Linked DNA regions of Drosophila melanogaster. The protein of the gene in region 2 interacts with the protein of the main gene of each other region in a pairwise test. Each region holds a gene or a part of one and is shown on either strand. Other genes may lie near its edges.

Evidence for each region.
Region 1: the proteins of CG12126 (region 2) and PhKgamma interact in a two-hybrid assay, tested with the Drosophila melanogaster proteins (one large-scale study listed by BioGRID).

The regions. Positions count from the first base shown.
Region 1 is NC_004354.4:11,690,804-11,701,598, forward strand, and holds the start of PhKgamma (phosphorylase kinase gamma), read left to right. Parts: upstream 1-4,333; 5' UTR 4,334-4,476; exon of another isoform or gene 4,477-4,581; intron 4,582-5,020; 5' UTR 5,021-5,508; intron 5,509-5,599; 5' UTR 5,600-5,645; coding exon 5,646-5,737; intron 5,738-6,262; coding exon 6,263-6,441; intron 6,442-6,507; coding exon 6,508-6,792; intron 6,793-6,857; coding exon 6,858-6,948; intron 6,949-7,495; coding exon 7,496-7,632; intron 7,633-7,696; coding exon 7,697-7,794; intron 7,795-8,519; coding exon of another isoform or gene 8,520-8,603; intron 8,604-9,817; coding exon 9,818-10,324; intron 10,325-10,795. Other genes in the region: bif (bifocal), read left to right, coding at 9-610.
Region 2 is NT_033778.4:8,259,198-8,268,060, forward strand, and holds CG12126 (uncharacterized protein), read right to left. Parts: upstream 4,082-8,863; 5' UTR 4,003-4,081; coding exon 3,673-4,002; 3' UTR 3,477-3,672; downstream 1-3,476. Other genes in the region: CG30369 (uncharacterized protein), read left to right, coding at 210-473; CG14759 (uncharacterized protein), read left to right, coding at 839-1,219; CG2291 (uncharacterized protein), read right to left, coding at 1,668-2,003; CG30376 (uncharacterized protein), read right to left, coding at 4,416-5,096; CG30375 (uncharacterized protein), read right to left, coding at 6,685-7,060, 7,118-7,286, 7,344-7,776, 7,867-8,085; CG30371 (uncharacterized protein), read right to left, coding at 8,478-8,863.

The DNA.
Region 1 (10,795 bases), on a different chromosome or scaffold from region 2:
ATTTGCAGATTACCCAAGTTTAGGGAGGGGTATTATCTTGCCACAGTCGCCACAACAGCAGTCAACGCAGCAGCAGGAGCAGCCAGAACCTGCAATAGCCACATCGGCAACAGTGGCAGGATTAGCAGTGGCAATGGCAACCGAAGTGGAAATCGAGCCACCACTACCAGCACCACCAGTCACAGTCGCCAAGCGCCCGCAGCTCCCGGCGAAGCCAGCACAGCAGCAGCAACAACAGGCGGCGCGTAGGGCCAGGCCATCGGTGCTGCTTAAGCCGCAGTACGCCTGCTTCCTTCAGCACGACGATGATGCACCCAAATCCCAGCCAACTGCTGCTGGACGACCGCGCAAGGCAGCCTCGTTTTCATTGGGCAATCAACGGCAATCGAAGGAGCAGCAGCAACATCATCATCATTACCAGCCACAGCATCAGCAGAGTAAATATGAACGCAACGATTGCAGTAGGAGTCGGGGCAGTTGCGAGAGTCCAGCTCCAGAACACCAGCAGCGACGTCGTCGGCCTAGTCTGCCGTCGTCGCTGGCTTTGTCCAATGCCAGCTCGGCCCTGCTCCAGGCACGCATTCCAGGCACCACGCTCTACTATGTCTGATGGCCACCCGATATGAAAAGCATTAGACTCCAAACTCCAGATAACCAGATATCCAGATAACCAGATACTCCAACTCCGAACCGATTTGAAACCGCCAGCGAAACGTAGGCATTGCCCAAGCTTTACTATATGTTTACAACTAGGCTAAAGAACACCCATCATCCCTTGGATACCTCTTGGTGACCCCGTTCCGCTCCCAAAAAAAAAAAAAAACAAAAATATATATTGGTTTGATGGCCGCTAAACTGTAAAGTGTAACCCTGTGCATATCCGACTCACTCCAAAACAAATAACTCAATGCGGAAACCAGGAACACCAAACCCGAACACACCAATCACAACACACACAAGAAAACAAACACTGGGGCAACCGGACACTCGAAACACACGTTTAATCGATTCATAGATGCGATTCACGATGCTTCCCGATGTCGATGCACTGCCGCCGTTAATCGTTTATGCGATGCTCTGGATAACAATCAACAGTAATTCGCGAATTAGCGAGCGAAGAATACGCGAAGGATGATGGATTTTAGAACTAACCTAAATGATGGATAATGCTGGTGTCCCCATGTTTCACTAAAACCAAACCATGTTCCTATGACTGCTGCTTGATAATGCCCTGCTCCCCCGTCTGTATTCATTATCCACAACCTTAGGTATAAGATGCTCCATAGTCTTTAGCAACCATTATATGATAGTTTACCTAGTAAATCGTATGCCAATCATCAGATTGAACTGTACTATGCCCACCCAGCCCATGTGGAAGTTAAAGATTATTGTAGAAAACTATTTAGGTCACCTATAAATGTTGGCAACGCCTAAGAATTAAGCTAACTACTCAGCTAGAGATCGCAGAAACCGAAACAATTGCGATAATTGATAACTAAGTGTTCATGGCAAATTTTGGGGTGTAACTAAACGTTTAATAAACGAAAAGTAAAGCAACTAAAGCTGCAGACAAATCAAAGAACCTTTATGTAGCGGCTAATTTCGACATGTGTTCGGTGTAAACCAAACAAAAACGAATCACAGAACACTAGTTAGTGACTATTTTCATTTCAGTTACGTACTTAAGTATATATATTTGTGCACCCGTGTGAGTTGGCGTTAGTTATGTGTTATGTGCTTATGTATGTTTGCTTTGTTTGGCTCAGTTCGGTTTGGTATGCAGTTGTGGGGCATGTATTGAATTGCAATTTGCGATTTGAAATTGTAGCCATGTAGTTACGCTAACCTACCTTCTCGCCCCCGCTGTTTCACGCCACCCAAATGGTTTTTCATTTCAACAACAACCTTTTGTTAAAGTCACCGCTGTCGCTTTGTTTGTTTGCTATTTGTTTACTTCTATTTCTATTTTTTGTTCATACCAATTTCTTTTTGCAGATATTATTTAAATGTAACAGAATACATAAGCAAAGCGTTGAAATAATATCTATTGTATACCAAAACCAAAAATATCTATGATAACAAACAAGCAAAGGCAATTAAACCGATCCGTAAACTGAATAACCGATTAATAACTGCAGCCGCTCAACCCGAACCGCAATAAATAACTATCAAGTAAAGAATAGAACAACTTAACAATGAAAAATGCAATATTCAATATGCGAAATGACAAATGCCTAATGCCAAATGCCAATCCAAATAACCCAATAACCGATTCAAGTGCGAGAACAGAAATGCCACACCTCTAACCCAGTGCACTTGCTCTGTCTGCTCCGCTGGGCAATCAAACTAATCGCCAATTCATATTATTATTAAGGTAACTAACCCAGATTAGAACAGACACTCGAACACACGCACACACCAGCCACCAACACCACTTGGCACATCCTAGTCATATCATCAACTTCCATCGCTCATCTCCACTTCCATTTCTTTATCCACTGGTCATGTTTCGTTTTCATTTGCTTGAAAAGATCCAGGCGAGATCCTCCTTTATCCACAACACCGTCACCTCATCTCGATTATATATACATATAAATATATATATATATGTTCTGAAATATATATTTCCCAACTCGGAGCCACCTTATTTATCATTGTACTAACCCCAAATCCTTGGAAGGATTTAAACCCACTTGAAATAAAGATATACAGTCGATTAATCTCGTTCTACACATAATTGCAGGCTCCACGGCTCTGGGCTTCTACACGCCCATGAAGGGCACGGCGATGGACAACCTATTCCAGCTGGGTGTCACCCGATACGCCCTGCCCGAGAGCAGCAGCAGTGGGAGCAGCAATGGCAGCCACAGTCCAGGCAGCAACGGGAGCAGTCCAGCCGGAGCTGCGGGCAGCCGGTTGATGTTCAACGGGAATGGCAGCATTATGGGCATCGGCGAGGGACTGATCAAGGAGGGCGACTTGGCGGCAACGGAAGCAGGACCTGGAACTGCAGATGGAGCAGGTGCCTCCAAGAAGGGTTCAGCTGTGGACGAGGATGATTACCATCTGACGGCGACGCCGGGCGCCGAAGTTGTGTACAGCGAGGGTACACAGAAAACGGATTTGCTATATTAGGTCGTCCTGCCAGCCAAAAAACCGGAGCGTCTAGCTCTTTTTCTACCGGTTTCCACCAAACTCCAAACCTTCCGAGCATAACAACCTACCACATCCTGATCGTTCCCCTAATTGAAAAGCGTGCACTTAGGTGAAATATCAACTTCGGTTAGACGCGAAAACAGTAACGAAGGAAAGAAAAATAAAAACAACAAGGCAACGTAAACCAAGTATGGCAAGAAATCCATAAAGATACGTATATAAATAGATATTATTTGTAAGTTTGTAAGCCTAGAGATCCGATGTGTATGTGTACAACAGCAAGCGTGTGTGTCTGTCTTCTTTATAAATATATATATATGGTTTTTTTTTTTTGATAAATTAATAATTATATTATTGTAATGTATCTACATACGGCACTGAATGAACAACTTTGCTGCTGCAATTGTATTTGTATTTGTATTGTGTATTCCATTTACGGCATTTTGATAGTAAATATACAACAACAACAAATCAACGTATTTCCGACTGCATCCCGAAGGTTACTGAAACCTTAATCCACGAAGTACGCGACGAGCGGTTAGTCCCGCCCGAGTATTAACTTAATGGATTCTAACGATCCGATCTTGTGACCCATCATCATCCCTTTTCGCGACCCTTCCAAAACGAAAATGAAGAACATTCTAAGCTCCGCTTGCCCATTCAGCGGAAGAAAGCAAAGGAAAATGTAACATTTGCCTCATAATTATTATATACATTTAGCGCTTATTGAATATTTTTTACAATTGTATTCCGTAAATAAATATAAAATACATCAACATCTAGTCGCGTGTTTTAAGTTAAAGGAAGTTAAGGCCAAAGCAAAATGTTAGCAACAGTTTTTGTTAAAAGTTAACATATATAATAATGGTAATTTAAATATTCAAATCTATGAAGTGACTTATTTTATAAGTCCACTTATGTTTGTTATATTTAATTGGTATTTAGAAAAGGATTCATTTTAAATTAACACCGTTGAGGGTTCAATTTTGGTAGTGCGTCTTTGCTAACCATGCCGAGTGGGATCAAGTCCTTGCTAAGTTAGGATGTTGTCTTAGCTAACTGTGCCATCCCTGGTCGGGGTGTGTCTTAGCTAACAATTACGTGTCGATAGATATAATGCTATCGATATGACAGAGTGTCGGGAACAATCGATAGCATTACTTCGATATCGGTACTAGTGCCACCTCCAGTTTTGTGATTGTGTCAAAAATACAGGGTTTTATTGTTGCACTAGCAATTTAATCCGAGGAATATAAATTTTGTGTGGAGTTATGTTCGAGACGTCGTTGCCAGCGATTCAAGAGGCGAGCGGTCACACGTGTATGTGTTTCACTGGCGGTGCGGGCGCCAACTCCGCCAAAAAGCGTACTACTTTTAACCTTAGTTGACATTGAAATGTACCCGCTTAGTTGGATGTCCACGATGGTGCGTGTGTGTGCGTATATGTGTGCTATGCGGCGTCTGTGTGCGCGAGTGTGTGTGTGGGATTGCAAAGGAGGATGGGAGAAACGAGAGCAGAGCAAAAACAAAAACAAAAGGAACCTGCTGCACATAGTCGGTGCATGCGAGCGTGCTTATGTGTGTGTGCGTGCGTGCTAGCAAAACAACTGCAAGAAATCAGCAACAGTAGTAGAAGAAGAGAAGCTGTATCACTGATAAGGAGGCTAAACAACAACAAAAACAGCAACGATAATGTGCACCCTTTCGAAATGCAAACAAAACAAAGCGTTGTAGTTGTGTAATCATTCGTTGTGAACACACCACACACACACACACACACAACACTTGTTTAATAATACATTTTAATTCTATTATTTTTGATTTAATTTTTGCCTGTTATTCAAATCGATCTGTGTTTTTGCAGTTGGCATTCGTTATTAATTAAATCAGCCGCCAACAGCTGAGCGAGAGAGCAATCGAGAGCGACAGGAGAGGATCCACTTCCAATCGAATCGGGTGGAATCGAATAGCAGGGGCTTGGTAATTAAAAGGAAGACCGAACTGAACTGAACTAAACTGAAACGGAACGAAGCGAAGCGAAGCGCGGCGAGGCGGCAAGAAACGAAAAGAAAAGAACGAAAGTCGGCAGAGTCGGAAAGTCGGCAAGTCTGATTGTCGGCAAAGTCGCAAAGTCGGAGAGTCACAGTCTCAATCGCAGTCGGCGAGAGATTCCACTCGTGTCGCACGTCCGTTCGTTTCCACATTGTCGTTATAAAAATAGCAACGCCTTAAACGATCGCATCAACCTCATCAACAGAACACCACCAGAAATCACCGCCCCCTCCTACGCCTCAATCGCCATCGCCACCGCATCCCATCCCCATCATCTTCATTAGCAGGCAGCCTGACAGAGTAACTAACTGATCTTGATTGCGACCATAATCACCGTCATCATCATGTAATCCTTCACTAACCAATTGATTTCCGCTCGTCCACCAAATAGATTCCAAACTGCCGTTTCGGCAGCCGGCAAGATTTCACGAAATCTAATGGCCAAGGACGAGGAGGATGATCTGCTGCCCGACAAGGATGCGGCCAAGGGCTTCTATGCCAAATACGAGCCCAAGGAGATTCTGGGCAGGTAAGAATCGAACTACACTTGCCGTGATCTCAAACCTCTTATTAAATCCTTTTAAATTCAGTTGAAGTATTATTGATCCTGCACTTAACCATTCAAATACGTTTCTTTCTATTTACTTTGCGTAGTTAATTTTGCAAATTTAAGATCATAGAAACATTGATACTTGTATCCTCAGAAATCACTAGAACGTCCAAATATTGATTGTTTCTGCTTTCCCAACCTCTTACTGCCAAGTCTGCAGTAATGCAGTTTGGGCTAAATGGTGCCAAGTGAGTCAGCCTCATCAAGCTTCCATGGCATGGAGCAATGGCATGGGCTGCTTTTCAAGCGGCGCCTGTCTGCCGGCCTACTCACGCCACAACGAAGATCAGAATTTGCCAAGCAAATAGCAGAGACTAAGCGAAAACAAGGGCTAATTACATATTACAATTCTAGGGATTAGAGATTAGATAAATACCCGATCATGGCAATGTCAAGTGCAGCAGAAGCAGAGCTCTTTATCTACATGCAATGTTTGTCTTACAGGGGCATCAGTTCGACCGTGAGGCGATGTATCGAAAAGGAGACGGGCAAGGAGTTTGCCGCCAAGATCATCGACTTGGGCGCCACCACAGAGTCAGGCGAGACGAATCCATATCACATGCTGGAAGCAACCAGACAAGAAATCTCAATACTGCGCCAGGTCATGGGGCATCCCTACATAAGTTAGTCTCACATAGCACCCACATGTACTTAATTCCACCACTAACCATCTACATTATCGTGCACAGTTGATCTGCAGGATGTGTTCGAGTCAGATGCATTTGTTTTCCTCGTCTTCGAGCTGTGTCCCAAAGGTGAACTCTTCGACTATCTGACCTCTGTGGTGACGCTATCCGAGAAGAAGACGCGCACCATTATGCGACAAATCTTTGAGGGCGTCGAGTACATACACGCGAAGAGCATTGTCCATCGGGATCTTAAGCCCGAGAATATCTTGCTGGACGAGAACCACAACGTTAAGATCACGGATTTTGGCTTCGCCAAGCAGTTGCAAGAGGGCGAGAAACTTACAAGTAATTATAACACAGCATCCTTCTGTATTCGCTAAGCTAAACTATATGTACTTTCCCCCTATTAGATCTGTGCGGAACGCCGGGTTATTTGGCTCCCGAAACGCTCAAGTGCAACATGTTCGAGGGATCCCCCGGCTACTCGCAGGAAGTCGACATGTAAGAGCGAATAAACTAGCCACTTATTATTACACCTTTTTTTGGCTCACTTAAATTATAGAAGCAATTTAAGCACAAAAAGTATCACATTTATTGTAATACGAATTGTCTGCTCAAATTACTAAATTGCTTATGTTAACAGCTAATTTTATTATTAAAAATTTTTGCTTACATAAAAAAAGAAAGGTCTAAACTTTTGTATCGATATTAGACCCGTTTTCCTTTTTTTTTTGTTTTATAGACGCAAATTTTGCTGATACATTTCATTAACTAGTGTTCCTCGTGTCAGGCGATTTGTTTTGATCTTTAGGTGTGCATTTTAATGAATGAGTCAGAAGCAGAAAGGCATAATAATCTGAAATCTGAGTAGTTCCGATACCGACGTCTATATTTCTTCGGTTCAGCAAAACGTAGGGCTTTTTGTATTTTTGAGTTCTTTAACGTTTCCCACTGGTATCTACGTTACTTGGTTTCAGCAGAAATTTTTAATAGGAAAAATTGACACCTTTTACCCATTTCTTTTTCGATTTCTTTTTGTTGTTCGCAGATGGGCCTGTGGCGTGATTATGTTTACGCTGCTCGTCGGTTGTCCACCTTTCTGGCACCGCAAGCAGATGGTCATGCTGCGGAATATCATGGAGGGCAAGTACAGCTTCACCTCGCCGGAGTGGGCTGATATTTCAGGTTGGTCAAATTGATATGCACATGCCAAACGTATGCTTATTTACTTGGTTTCGATTGATTGCAGAGGATCCCAAGGATCTGATACGCAAATGTCTAGTCGTTGATCCTTCGCAACGTATAACCGTCAAGGAAGTATTAAGACATCCATTCTTCAACCAAATGGTAAGTGCCGGAATTGTTGGCAGCCGCCGGGCTCCAATTACCACGACCACCACCACCACCACTACTACAACCGCCTGTACAAGAGGAAAATCAGTCAAATTAGTTCAATTAGTCGCCAAGAATGAGGTCCGCCTACGAGTCGTCTTTTGTGCTCGGGCAGCAGTCTATAGTTTTCGGGTTCCTGTTCTTGTACATAGATACTAGATCTCTAGTTGATGGGTTTAACCTCGGGTGGGTTAATCTTCTACACAACCAATCCACCAAAACAACCAAACACCTGGCCCTGCAAATGTTTCTAAACACAACGTACATCTAAGAACACACACTCTGATGGAAAGAACACCCACCTGTGACTCACAAACCAACCACTCACAACAGCCTATTAACAGCTTCTTCTTACTGTTACCTCCTAAAAATACGATTATGATTTATAATTCGGTTAGGGTAGCAGCCTAACCCCCCGTAGTTTAGTTCAATTGTCAGATTTATAGCCTGACAGGATCAGTCATTAGTTTGGATCCCCCGCCCCCCTTAAAAAGAAAAAGAAAGGAAAACCCTTCGGAACCTCTTGCGTTTTGTTAACTTTTTATTTCTATGATTACTATTTATTATACCAAACATTTTCTTTCTTCTTTTCCTTACATATAAACTATATATCAAATCGAATCCAATTAATTTTAAACGAACCCAAACGAACGATAACGAACACACACTACCATCGATAGCTGTTCGAGCAAAACATTGATGGCCTCAAGCGCAGCCTGTCGACCAAGTCCCGACGAATGAGTCGCATCACTGAGATCGCACTGGTAACGAACCGTTCCCGGACTAACCCAAGCTCTCTCTATCTCTTAATCTCTCTGTGCTGTGTGTCTCCGTGTTCATATATTGATATCGGAGCCGTAATCGTAATCGCTCTAATAACGATTATCCCGATAATCCTGATAATCCCGATAATAAAATCAAGCAATCGGGCCGGCAGACCCAACTCATGACCATATGCAACCCTGCCGGCCCAGCATTCGTGTGTCTGTTTTCCGTTGCATTCTGTTCTGTTTCGTTCTGTGCCGATCTAATATAACCCAGCTAAACTGTACATCATAGTGCATATCAATTGTATACTATACATACTTATTTATTTAAAATCCGTTCAGGTCATCTGTGCCAAGCATAATAACTTTTAACCGGCCGGCAATAGCCAGCGAAAAACGAAACAAAAACGAATACGTACCCGATCTGCTTCGTTTTTGTTTGCATCTGATTTGATTTGCTTGTCGACTGATCGATGCACCACAATGATAACAAAAAAAGAATATATATATATACATATATATAACCCTTCTCTATAATCCCATTCCTTGTTGTACTCGATGTTTTTTTGTCGATTTTGTGTGTTTTTTGTACAAATCAACCGATTGCCTCGATAACTAAAAACGATAACACACGTCTGCAGCTCTGCGCTCGCCATTTGAATCATAATCTGTTAAGTTAATAACTGTGTCTGCATGCCAACCAACCAAAAAAAAAGCAAAACAAAAATCCAGCAGGGTTTCCCTTATCCCAACCTCCAAAGAAAACCCCACAATTCCTATTTTGAGTCACTGCATGCAAGCGTGCATTAACCATTCAGTCAGCGAGAAGAAGATTTGAAGATTTGGCGATAGTAGATAGTAGAATTCACAGAATAGATACAATACCCCATCAAGGTGCATATAAGTATGAAACACGAAGGTATATATTATTGGTAGTCCACTAGGATGTTGTACACTTCCCACAGATCAAATAAGTAGACTGTAAGTTGAAGTCATTTTAGGTATTATATTCATATACGTATAAGAACGTCCTGTGCTTCACCCAACCCAATTTTTAATTTAACCTCCGTGACTGATAAACCAATTTTAATTTCTTCCGGGCCCACTCTGCTGCTGCCTCTGACCCTCCTGCCCACTGCCAATCTCATCCTTCCTCCGTCTCGCCTCGCCTTCGGTTTTTTGTTTATTAATCGCGGTGTCGACGGGATCAGGTGTTAATGGGTGATCGCCGGCATCCGGCCCCGCCCATCGCGCCCGCCCAAACGAACAGCAGGCATCTGCTGCAACCCGAGGCGTCATCGTATCGCTTTGGTCAGCTGAACAGTAGTTGCGCCGGTGCCCCCAATTATCTGTACTGTGCGCCACAGAGCTCCTACTCGTCGAATCGAATGCGCGACGGGGCGCTGGACGATGCGGGTGCCAGTGCTGCATCCGCCACCTGCCATGTCATGTCGCCATCCAACGCCTCCAATTCCTACGCCACCAACACCACAGCCAACACCTCGAACTCGGCCTTGGCATCCGCCTCCTCCCACAAAACGCTCACGGCGATGGTCTACTATCAGCAGCAACCGCAGCAGCATCAGACGCAGCAGCAGCAGCAACAGTACCAGCAGCAACAGACGACACAGCTGCCGGTGCAGCTGCAGTTGCAGCATCCACTATTGCAGACCGGTGGCGATGGCAAGCAATCGGTGTATGCACCTCCTACAGTGCAGGCAGGTTTTCCATTGATATTCTTTGATCTTGCTTACCCAACACGAATGGCCCAGCGGGCGATGGCAGGAATCGCTAGGGAAACGTTAAATTGCATACCACAGAGCAGGACGAGTGTGCCCCACAATTGCATTAGAGTTGCCTGAGATTTTTCATCATTAAAAGAATACTTAAAGCTTTGCTACGATCATTTTAAATGTTTATATACAAATGCCTTTTCTTGACAAATGTTTATTTGAACTATTTATTTAATTGTGTATGTTTATATTTCCTTAAATATTATATTTAAATGTTAACTTATGTTGATTACTTTTGAAACATTTAACTTTCTATATTAATTTAAATAATAATTTCGTTTAAGACTATATATCAGTCAGTTTTGTATGGAATTTTTCGTTTTTGCTAACGTTTTTTGACAGCCGCGTGGGTTATACCTAATATTTAGTTGCCACACGTACTATTACCGATTAATT
Region 2 (8,863 bases):
ATTGCATATTCAACAATACCAACTAGGGTTGGATTTATAGAATCCATGCCTATTTACTAAAATGCCATTGAAAAAGTATATTCGAATCAGTTTTCAATTGTCTGAAAAGTAGGCGCTTTTAATGAAATCAGAAACCCTAGTTTATCTTTTTGGCTTCGATTAAATTTGAAATATCAGTCAACGTATTTTTAAGCCCCGAACCTGCAGCCATGATGTCCTTTGGTCGAGTTCTCGGGGGCCTATCCGTTTTACATTTTTCCCGGAACAGAAGTTTGCATCAAAGGAGGACGAGGCGACCATTTCCTGTAGTTCCCGACGCGAGGATTAAGACCCCGGCGCAATCAACCCGACCACCCCGCATCCTGGTGAAGAGCTTCTTGGCCCTCCATCATCTGGATTCTGTGTACATGCAGGGTGCTCCTCGTGATCTTAGAGACTATTTTATGTCAAGCTGGAAAAACGAGAGAAAATGATATCCCCCCTTGACTTTACCATTCGTAACCATGGGAATCGCCCTTGCGGTCAATATTAAAAATTTAAAGTTTTTGGAAAAAATACTGTTCTAAAAATATATTACGTTATTCGACTTGTTGGAAGATTCATTTTTTAGCAAGAAAGTGACTTGCCGCTGAACTATATACGGAATTTTAATTTAGTGAGGAAAAACGTCCATATCAATTCATTTCAAGAATTGCAAAGCCAATACATAAAAGTAGGCCCGATAGATACATTCATATAATATGAAACCTTTTTTTATATAACTTAAATTTTACTTACATTGGTTAACCTAAATTTTAGTATTTCTTTGACCAACGGTACGGCATCCACCTATGGCATAATGTTCACCGGTCGGCTTCTCATCGGGTCCCCGATATTCGAGGCTAAGATGCGGCTACAGCAGAGGCGACGAATGTCAGAGCACAGGCTTCCGTACCATCGCAGACCTGCGCCCGTAAAGCTCCAGGACCGTAAGAGTTCATGGACCGATCTAAAAAGGCCGCCCTTCCTGCTGGTCAAGAGCTTCCTCAACTTGCGCCACATGGACGCCGACTACGGGAAGGACATGACACGAGTTACGGACGAGCTAAGTTTCCAGCCCCACCGCACCCTCTTAATCAATACCGTGCGAGGGCCGCATCGTCAGTTTTCGGACACGGAACCAATTGCGGACATGATGGATAAAAGTCCGGTAGCTTTGGACTCGGATTCGAAGCCGTGAGTGTGGGTAATAGCGTTTAAATGGAAGATAATGTATTTTAATATAAATGTTTATTTTTAATTTTATCAAATAATACTTTGATATATATGAGGGGTATACGGTTCTCCAATAAATAAGGGGGGGGGGGGGGTGACACATTTGGCCTTGGCCTTATTTCAATTTAAAGGTACCATCTAAAATCTGGCCAATACTCATACATAGTCCTACTAAGTTCAAACGAAGTGCACAATAAACTTAAGAGGTAACGGATTTATTCTGTGCTGAATTATATTGCAATTTGAGCGGACGACCGAGTTGGATCCGTTTATCTGGCCTCAAAATTCTTACTATTGTACAGTTTGCATGTGGGTTTGGGATACTTCGTTATGGATAGACTGGGGGGGGGACTATACTCGTACAAGACATGTCCGGATGGAAATTGATTGCAGAGAGCTTCAAGAGAAACCGTCTAGATATCGTAGGTGCCATAAACCATTCGTCGCCGGAAGTCTGCCCAGCGGTATCGCGGATTGCGGAAGCGGGTCGTCTGCACCTCTCCGTGATCCTGCGCCTGCTCCTGGTACTTATGAAAGTTCTTAACAAAGCATCGCGGAGCATGATGGTACTCTGGATTGGGTTCATCCCGCTGGTGGCACAGGACTTCGTCGATCTTCTTCAGATCCCCAACGCACTGGTTTCGGCGCGTCGAGTAGGCGAATCTTCCAGTCATCCGGGACGTGGCTTGCTGGACCGCCAGTCGGACATAGGCGGATAGGGCCGATTGGTTTCCATTGGCTGGCAGCATTTGGAAAGGGGATGAAACTAGTCGGATTTGCCTGTAATTTCGTGGTCCGGATACCTTAGGTATTGGTTAGCCTTCAGCTGGATGCAGTTGTACTGTGGTGTAGCGTTTATTTGGCTTAAAGGATTGGCCGAAAGGAGGGAGTATGTAAATTTAAGACTTGTCTATTGTATTAGTTTGCCTGTTAAATGGGAGGAACGTAGAAAAAGTAAAACGGGGCTATGTGTTACTAAAAGCTGACTAGTTAAAAAGAAAAGCTGACTGGGTTAAAAAGAAACCTCCTCTTAAAGCCTCTTCTAGAACATATTCAGTTAATTGTTCGATAAGCAGCTAAGTGTACCTATCACACATTTCATTTTCTTTTGGCTAACCTAAAAAATGATAATGTAACATTATTTGAGTGCGTTCCCTTTTCAGCAATTATCGCATTGCACGTACTCGAGACCAAAGCACAAAACATAATTAAACAATTAAGGTCCTCGGCACTCGTCCTTACTTAGCCCAATTCGCAGGACGGCACATCAAAGCCGTGCTGCGAGTTGTGCGCCTAATTACGCGGCCAAGTGCAGTGAACGGCAGAGTGAAATGCAAATTTTGCAACAAGGCAATAAAAAATCCATCAAAATTAACTGGCAACAATGGGAGCGAGTGGCGAAATCACAGCATTTGCGGACCAAGTTAATTGTGCAGCTTTGAAGTGAGGAGCAGAATTCAAAAAGCGAAGCACCAAACGAAATAATTATAGTAATGCATGTGATTCCAATGAAAATACGGAAATGCTGGGAAAAATACTTGCTTGAATTTAATGAAATGAATTAAAAATAACCTTCTTTAGTGAGTATAGTTGGTTAATTAGTTCATTGTTGCAACTCTTTTTTCCGAGTGCCTTCTAGTAGGACAGTGCTTTGAATGAAAAGTGCCTAGACCCGGACCGTAATCCTTGCTGCTCTGCATTTTTTGTGCCCCCGTTGGCCATTGATTTTTTCTATATTATAAAATTTATGCTGCCCGGTCTGCTTTGTTGCACTCTTGTCTCTGCCACCAGCACCACCACTACCAGCTCCACGCCCCCAGTGCACTTCATTTTCCGCCTTTGCTTTTCATAGTCATTTTTTATTTCACATTTTTCCCAAGCGCTTTTGAGCTTTTGTTGTCGAGTGCGCGCCAGTGCCACCCGAGCCAAAAGAAAAGGGCTTGACAATAAAAATTATGAAGCATATTACTTGAGTGCACTTGGTGCCTCTCTCCATTCTTTCCTTTGCCACTTTTCCACCCAGTCCTTGTTTGTATTTGGCTTTTCTCAGAACAGAAGGATGCGCAGGTATGCCAAAGTATGTCGCTAGTTTTTGAGAGCAAACCTGCGTGCTAAGTAGCAAAAAGGGTTAAGGATACTTGTTATAATAATAAACGGAACTGCAGAAGCTATTAGCTAAAGGTTGTTTAGTCGAACCAAGAAGAGAAGAAATAAATTCAGTTATCTATGTTATCCTGTTTTATTGCTTGAATTCAACTATGCATTTCAGACTGCAGTGCATTGTGGCTTATAAAGCCTCTTGTTATTACTTCGCTGGCGAATTAGATCCAAACAAAACACTTTTTAAGTCACAATGCAGGGGCTAATGAATAAAAAGGAGTCTTTCACTGGATTTGGTCCTTTCTGGGTGGCTTCATACTAGTAACTGCCGTAGATCATCTTTCGCCGGAACTCTGCCCACTGGTAGGTGCTGGAAAAGCATTGCCGTTGTCTTTTACAAAACTGATCAAAGGCCTCCGTGCTTTTTCGATTCTTCTCCGAAGGAGATATTTCGCACTGCCGGTTGGATGAGACTTCTTGATTCGGTTTAGGTGGCAGTTCCCCTTTGCTGAAGTAAACGAGGGGAATAGTGCGACGCAGCTCCGGATGGACAAAGACTCCGGGCTTCTGGCAGATCTGGGGTCGTCGATGAAGTCTCCTGGTGAGTTGAAGACCTCTGCCTGACAGTGTCCTAAGAATATTGATCATGGCTCAAAAGTATGACAAATTTGGATAATTTTGTAATCCCAAGTAATTGGGATGTACGCCGGAAAGACTACTGAGATTCATTTATTGTTCCTCAAAGAATGAAAATTCAATGATTGCTATGGTTTCACTTGTCTGAATGTCCTTGCCGATCTTTTAGACGAGAGCCTCGACTATTAGATACCCATTATCTGTACTTCCATAGTTGGGCATGGCCGCTTCATCTAGCCTGTTACATGATTTTCCGGGAAGATGTTTACATATTCAAATAATATATAGCATATAAAATAATTTTGAAGACCAAACTTTTTATTTGCTCTTGAAAATCGCGTAAAAATGCAACCGTAAATTTCACACTTCCGGAAAGGGAGACGTCAACGGATAAGGATGAACCTTCTGTTGAGGCTCCTGTTGGCTCAGTAACTCGTACGGCCAAAGATCATGTTGTGCCGGAACTCCGCCCAGCGGGTGCGATGGCTGCGGTAGGAGTTGTATGGCGAGATGACCTTTCGGGAAATGGAGGCGCTATCGGGCAAACGTTCCGTTTGCTTGGAGGCGCTGGCCACGCGTTGGAGAAGCTCCTGCTCAGCCCGGGCGCGATCCATCTCCTCCTCCGAGTTGTCCTCCGGCGGTCCGAAAACGGTCTCCCGTACCGATCGAACCTCCAGATCCGACTCGTAGTCGTGCTCCTCGGCCTTGGCTTCTGGATCGCCGTCCAGTCTTTGCTCTTCCTCCTGCCTCTGCTGGTATTGGGACACCTGCGCCGACTTGAAGTTCCGCCTCCTGGCCGCGTTCTGGGCGGCCACCACATTGTTGCGGCGGGGCACCATCTCATCCGGTTTGGCAACTGGTCGGAACATGGCGGAGTCCAGGCCGGAGTAGTTGTTGCTCCACCGGCGGTTCTGCTGCCTCTGGCGGAGCAGCTGGGCTGCCGCAAAAGACTCCTCTCTCATGGGCCAGTCCTTGTGGCAGGGATTTACGTTTTGGGCTGCGCTGTTTTGACCTTTCTCTAGGCCCGATATCCAGCGCCGCCCCTCAATTAGACTCCGCTTGGCCAGGTGGCGAATGCATGGCAGGTTTTTCACGAATATTGGCATCTTTGTTATTTCTGGTTCCCCTAAATTCTCTGATTTAACCGGCTAATTTATGATAAGACTCAAATTCTTCGGCCGAAATTGGGTCTACTAAAATTTTAATTTAATAAAAACAAGGCGCTCGGGCAAGAAAATTTTGGTTGTCTTTAGGGGAAAACTATTTCTAAAATGAAATACACAACCAGTCGTGTGTTGAAGTCTTCGTAAAACACTGACACCAAAACAAATGTTTACTGTTCTCGGCCAATTTAGTTTTCGATTTCTCACTGAATAGACAGGACAGAAGAAAAAAAAACATGTGTGCTGCTAAAGAAAATATCATAATTTATTTACAGCCACAAGGAATTCAATTTGATTGCGACTTGAGTCTTTCGGGCAAATTAAACAACAAAGCCAAAATGAAAATCATAGACCAAAAACACAATTTGCCTTCGTCACATGAACATTTATTAATTTTGCATCAGCTGCAGTGGTGCGAGGTCCTTTGGTGGCCCGATAAGTCCTGGGACGAATTTAACGCAATTTCCAAATGGAAGCAACAACAACTGCGAGTCATGGAATTGAGTTAGTCCACAATTACAACAACAATTATGAATAAAGCAATTTTACAATAAATACGAAAATACACTGGATAACTATGAGAAATCTGTACACTTTCCCGCTTTTGAAAACCTGAAAATCCAATGTTATGACCCAATTAATTTTAAATTTTAATTTTCTCTGATATACTAGAATCAGATTTTTCGCTTTCCCATATGTCGATTGTGTAGCCTTAATTAAACACTGGGAAATACGGTGAACTAATAGTGCCAACCATATTCAGATAGAGTATGCGATAAAACTTTATTGCACACAAAGAACTACGCCTGGCGGTTCTTCATGGCCAGCGGGGTATGATTGGTAAGTGCGGGGCTGCCGAGCTTGTTCGTTGTTTAAATGTAGGCAGAAACATGTCACTGCTTTTTAATTTAAATGCAAATTAAGGCCTTTGTCAACACTTTGCCAAACTCAAGACAACGCCGACAAATGCCTGAAGAAAGTGCAAGGAGGTCGGCCAAGGAATGACTCTGAGGAACTATATTCTAAAATATGCGTGTGCACAGGAAAAAATTTCGAGTACTATATACCACTGCTATAGCAGTTGTACATGACGAATAAAATGCTTTAGGTAAGGTATTTAAGTAAGGTATATACATATGTAAGGTATAAGGTATGAAAGCCGTTCACCCAACTAAGTTTTATCATTAAATTTCATTATTTTCATATTTTGCATTTTTTATTTTTATACACATATACATACAAAATAAAAGAAAAGGCGTACAATTCTAAGAGATTCTAAGTGATTTTAAGAAGAAATATACGTAGTCTGGATCATAATCACTAGCCGAGTAGATTTTTTTTTGCCAACTTCAAATACGATTATCTATTATCAAAGAAGTCTGTTTAATCAAAAGTTACAGTAATAAGATAATTTTTTAAATGTAAAAACTCTGTGCAACTCATGCTCGTAACAATATATGATAAAATTAATTTTATGGTCAATATTGTTTCTTTCTGTGCACACATTTGGGCATTCATCCGACGCATATCCTTAACGCACACACACAGATCCGCCTATATAGCGCCACAGCCAGTTGAGGTGCGAAGTGACCCGAGTGTTGACACCGATGCCAAAAGGCTGACCGCAGGCTCGGCCGTAACTGATCACGCCCAACTGGAACATCCGCTCCCGCTGGCGCAGGATCACCGGACCGCCGGAGTCGTACTGGCAGGAGTCCTGGCCCCTGCCGCCAGCATCGTACGTGCACAGGTGGCTGGGAGTTATGCTGGAGTTGAAGCGACTCCGGCAGACGGCATTGTCCATGGTCAGCAGTGTGGCCTTTTGCAGAGTGTTCGACTTGGAGGCAGCGAAGCCCAGGGTTCCCCAACCCATGATGTCCACGTTCTGGTAGTTGAAGCTGTTCTCCCTGTGAGAAAATCAAATTTTACGATTACACGACTTTAGATATGAGAGCTAAACCTACGCCTGTCTAATGGGAAGACATATGGGCGCCACTCCGCGGGACCATTCAATTGGGGTCGCCGTCTGGAGCAAGGCTATGTCATTTATATTGCCCGATGCTGTTTCCATGTAACCAGGATGGTTGATGATATTTTGGATGCGATACTGCGCCGCATAGATTGATTCGGCACCTGAGAGTAATTAGGATTTTAGAAATAGTCCTCAAACAAACTATGCATATTGCTTACCCGTGCTCAAGTCATGCTCCCCGACCAGCGCCAATAGGCGACTGGCCACTGGTTGGCGAGCGGTACAGTGGGCAGCGGTCATGATGTACCGCTCGCTGACTATGCTGCCGCCGCAGAAGATGGGCAGGTTGGAGCTCAGATCCCGGAGGCCCACCATCGAGGGAAACTCGTGCTTTCCCGCCTCCACTCCGTTGGCTATGCGATTGGGGAAGGACCAGCCGCAGTCGCAGGGCGCCGGTCGAGCCACCGCTTGGCAATTGAGTCTGGATCGCTGCTGGGTCTGCGGACTGCTCGAATAGTAGGCGAAGGCCATGGTCTGGAAGTTGGATATCCGGTTGACCTGGCCCATGCGGCAGTACCGTTCGCCATCCCGGAACTGCAGGTCGCCATCGCGGGAGATGAAAAGAAACTCCGAGCCGCAGGTGTCGGGAAACTAATTTGAACGAAATCAATGTTTTATAAGCAAGATATTCATTTTAAAGTGATATTTTAATTATGGCTTATATTCTAGAACAGAACTTACCAACTCAAAGCGACAGCTCAAGTAGATAACATGATTACTGGGTGCCTTCAAGCGAAATCGACAGTTAGAACCACTTGGTATAGCGCCGGGGTAATTAAAACTGGTTATATTAATCGTTCGGTTTGGGATCAAATCAAAGAATCTGGTGCACTGTTGTTGGGCACAAGACAAACTAATATATAGTAACGAAAGTAACCCAGTAATCTTTAGTTCGTACATGATGGTTGCGAAGCTGATGCAACTGTGAACTCGATGAAGATACGGTGCAGCTTATATAAGACCATTCGAATTGATAAGGAAAAGTATATTTCTTTGTTTTGAAATACCGGGCAAATATTTGAGAACCTTAAATTGGATTTTTAGGTCAAGGTGAGAAAATATTACAATTTATATATCTTTTTAATGCAAGTTAAACTTAAAGATATGCCTTAAAAAAGAACTTTCGCATACGAAGTGACAACCCGCAATAAAAAATATGAGTATTGCAATAAGATCTACCATTTTATTTGATATTAAAACTTTTTCCTTTAAAGGCTGATTAGAAATCTTTACCACTAATCATAGAAAAACAACCTTTTTGTGAAGATTTATTTCCGGTCCATTTATTTACATTACAAGCTGACAACACAATTGGAGTTTCCGATCTTTTGGCGTATCCAACTAATATACGACGTTATCCTGGTATTGACACCCATCGGGTACTGCGATTCAGCACAGCTCTTTCCGTAGCTGATGATTCCGACCAAGAACTGCCTGGACTTCCGCAGAATGACTGGGCCACCGGAGTCAAACTGGCAGGAGTCGCGACCTGTGCCCGAGTAGTCATAGGTGCACATTTGCCCAGTGTATATCGTGGCCACATTGTTGTACTCCGTCTGGCAGTCCTGGTTGGTGACCACATTCAGATTGATCTTCTGCAGACTTGTGGACGTGGGTCCGGCAAAGAAGACCGTGCCATAGCCAATCACGTCGACGAGGTCGTAAGTGAATGGTGTGC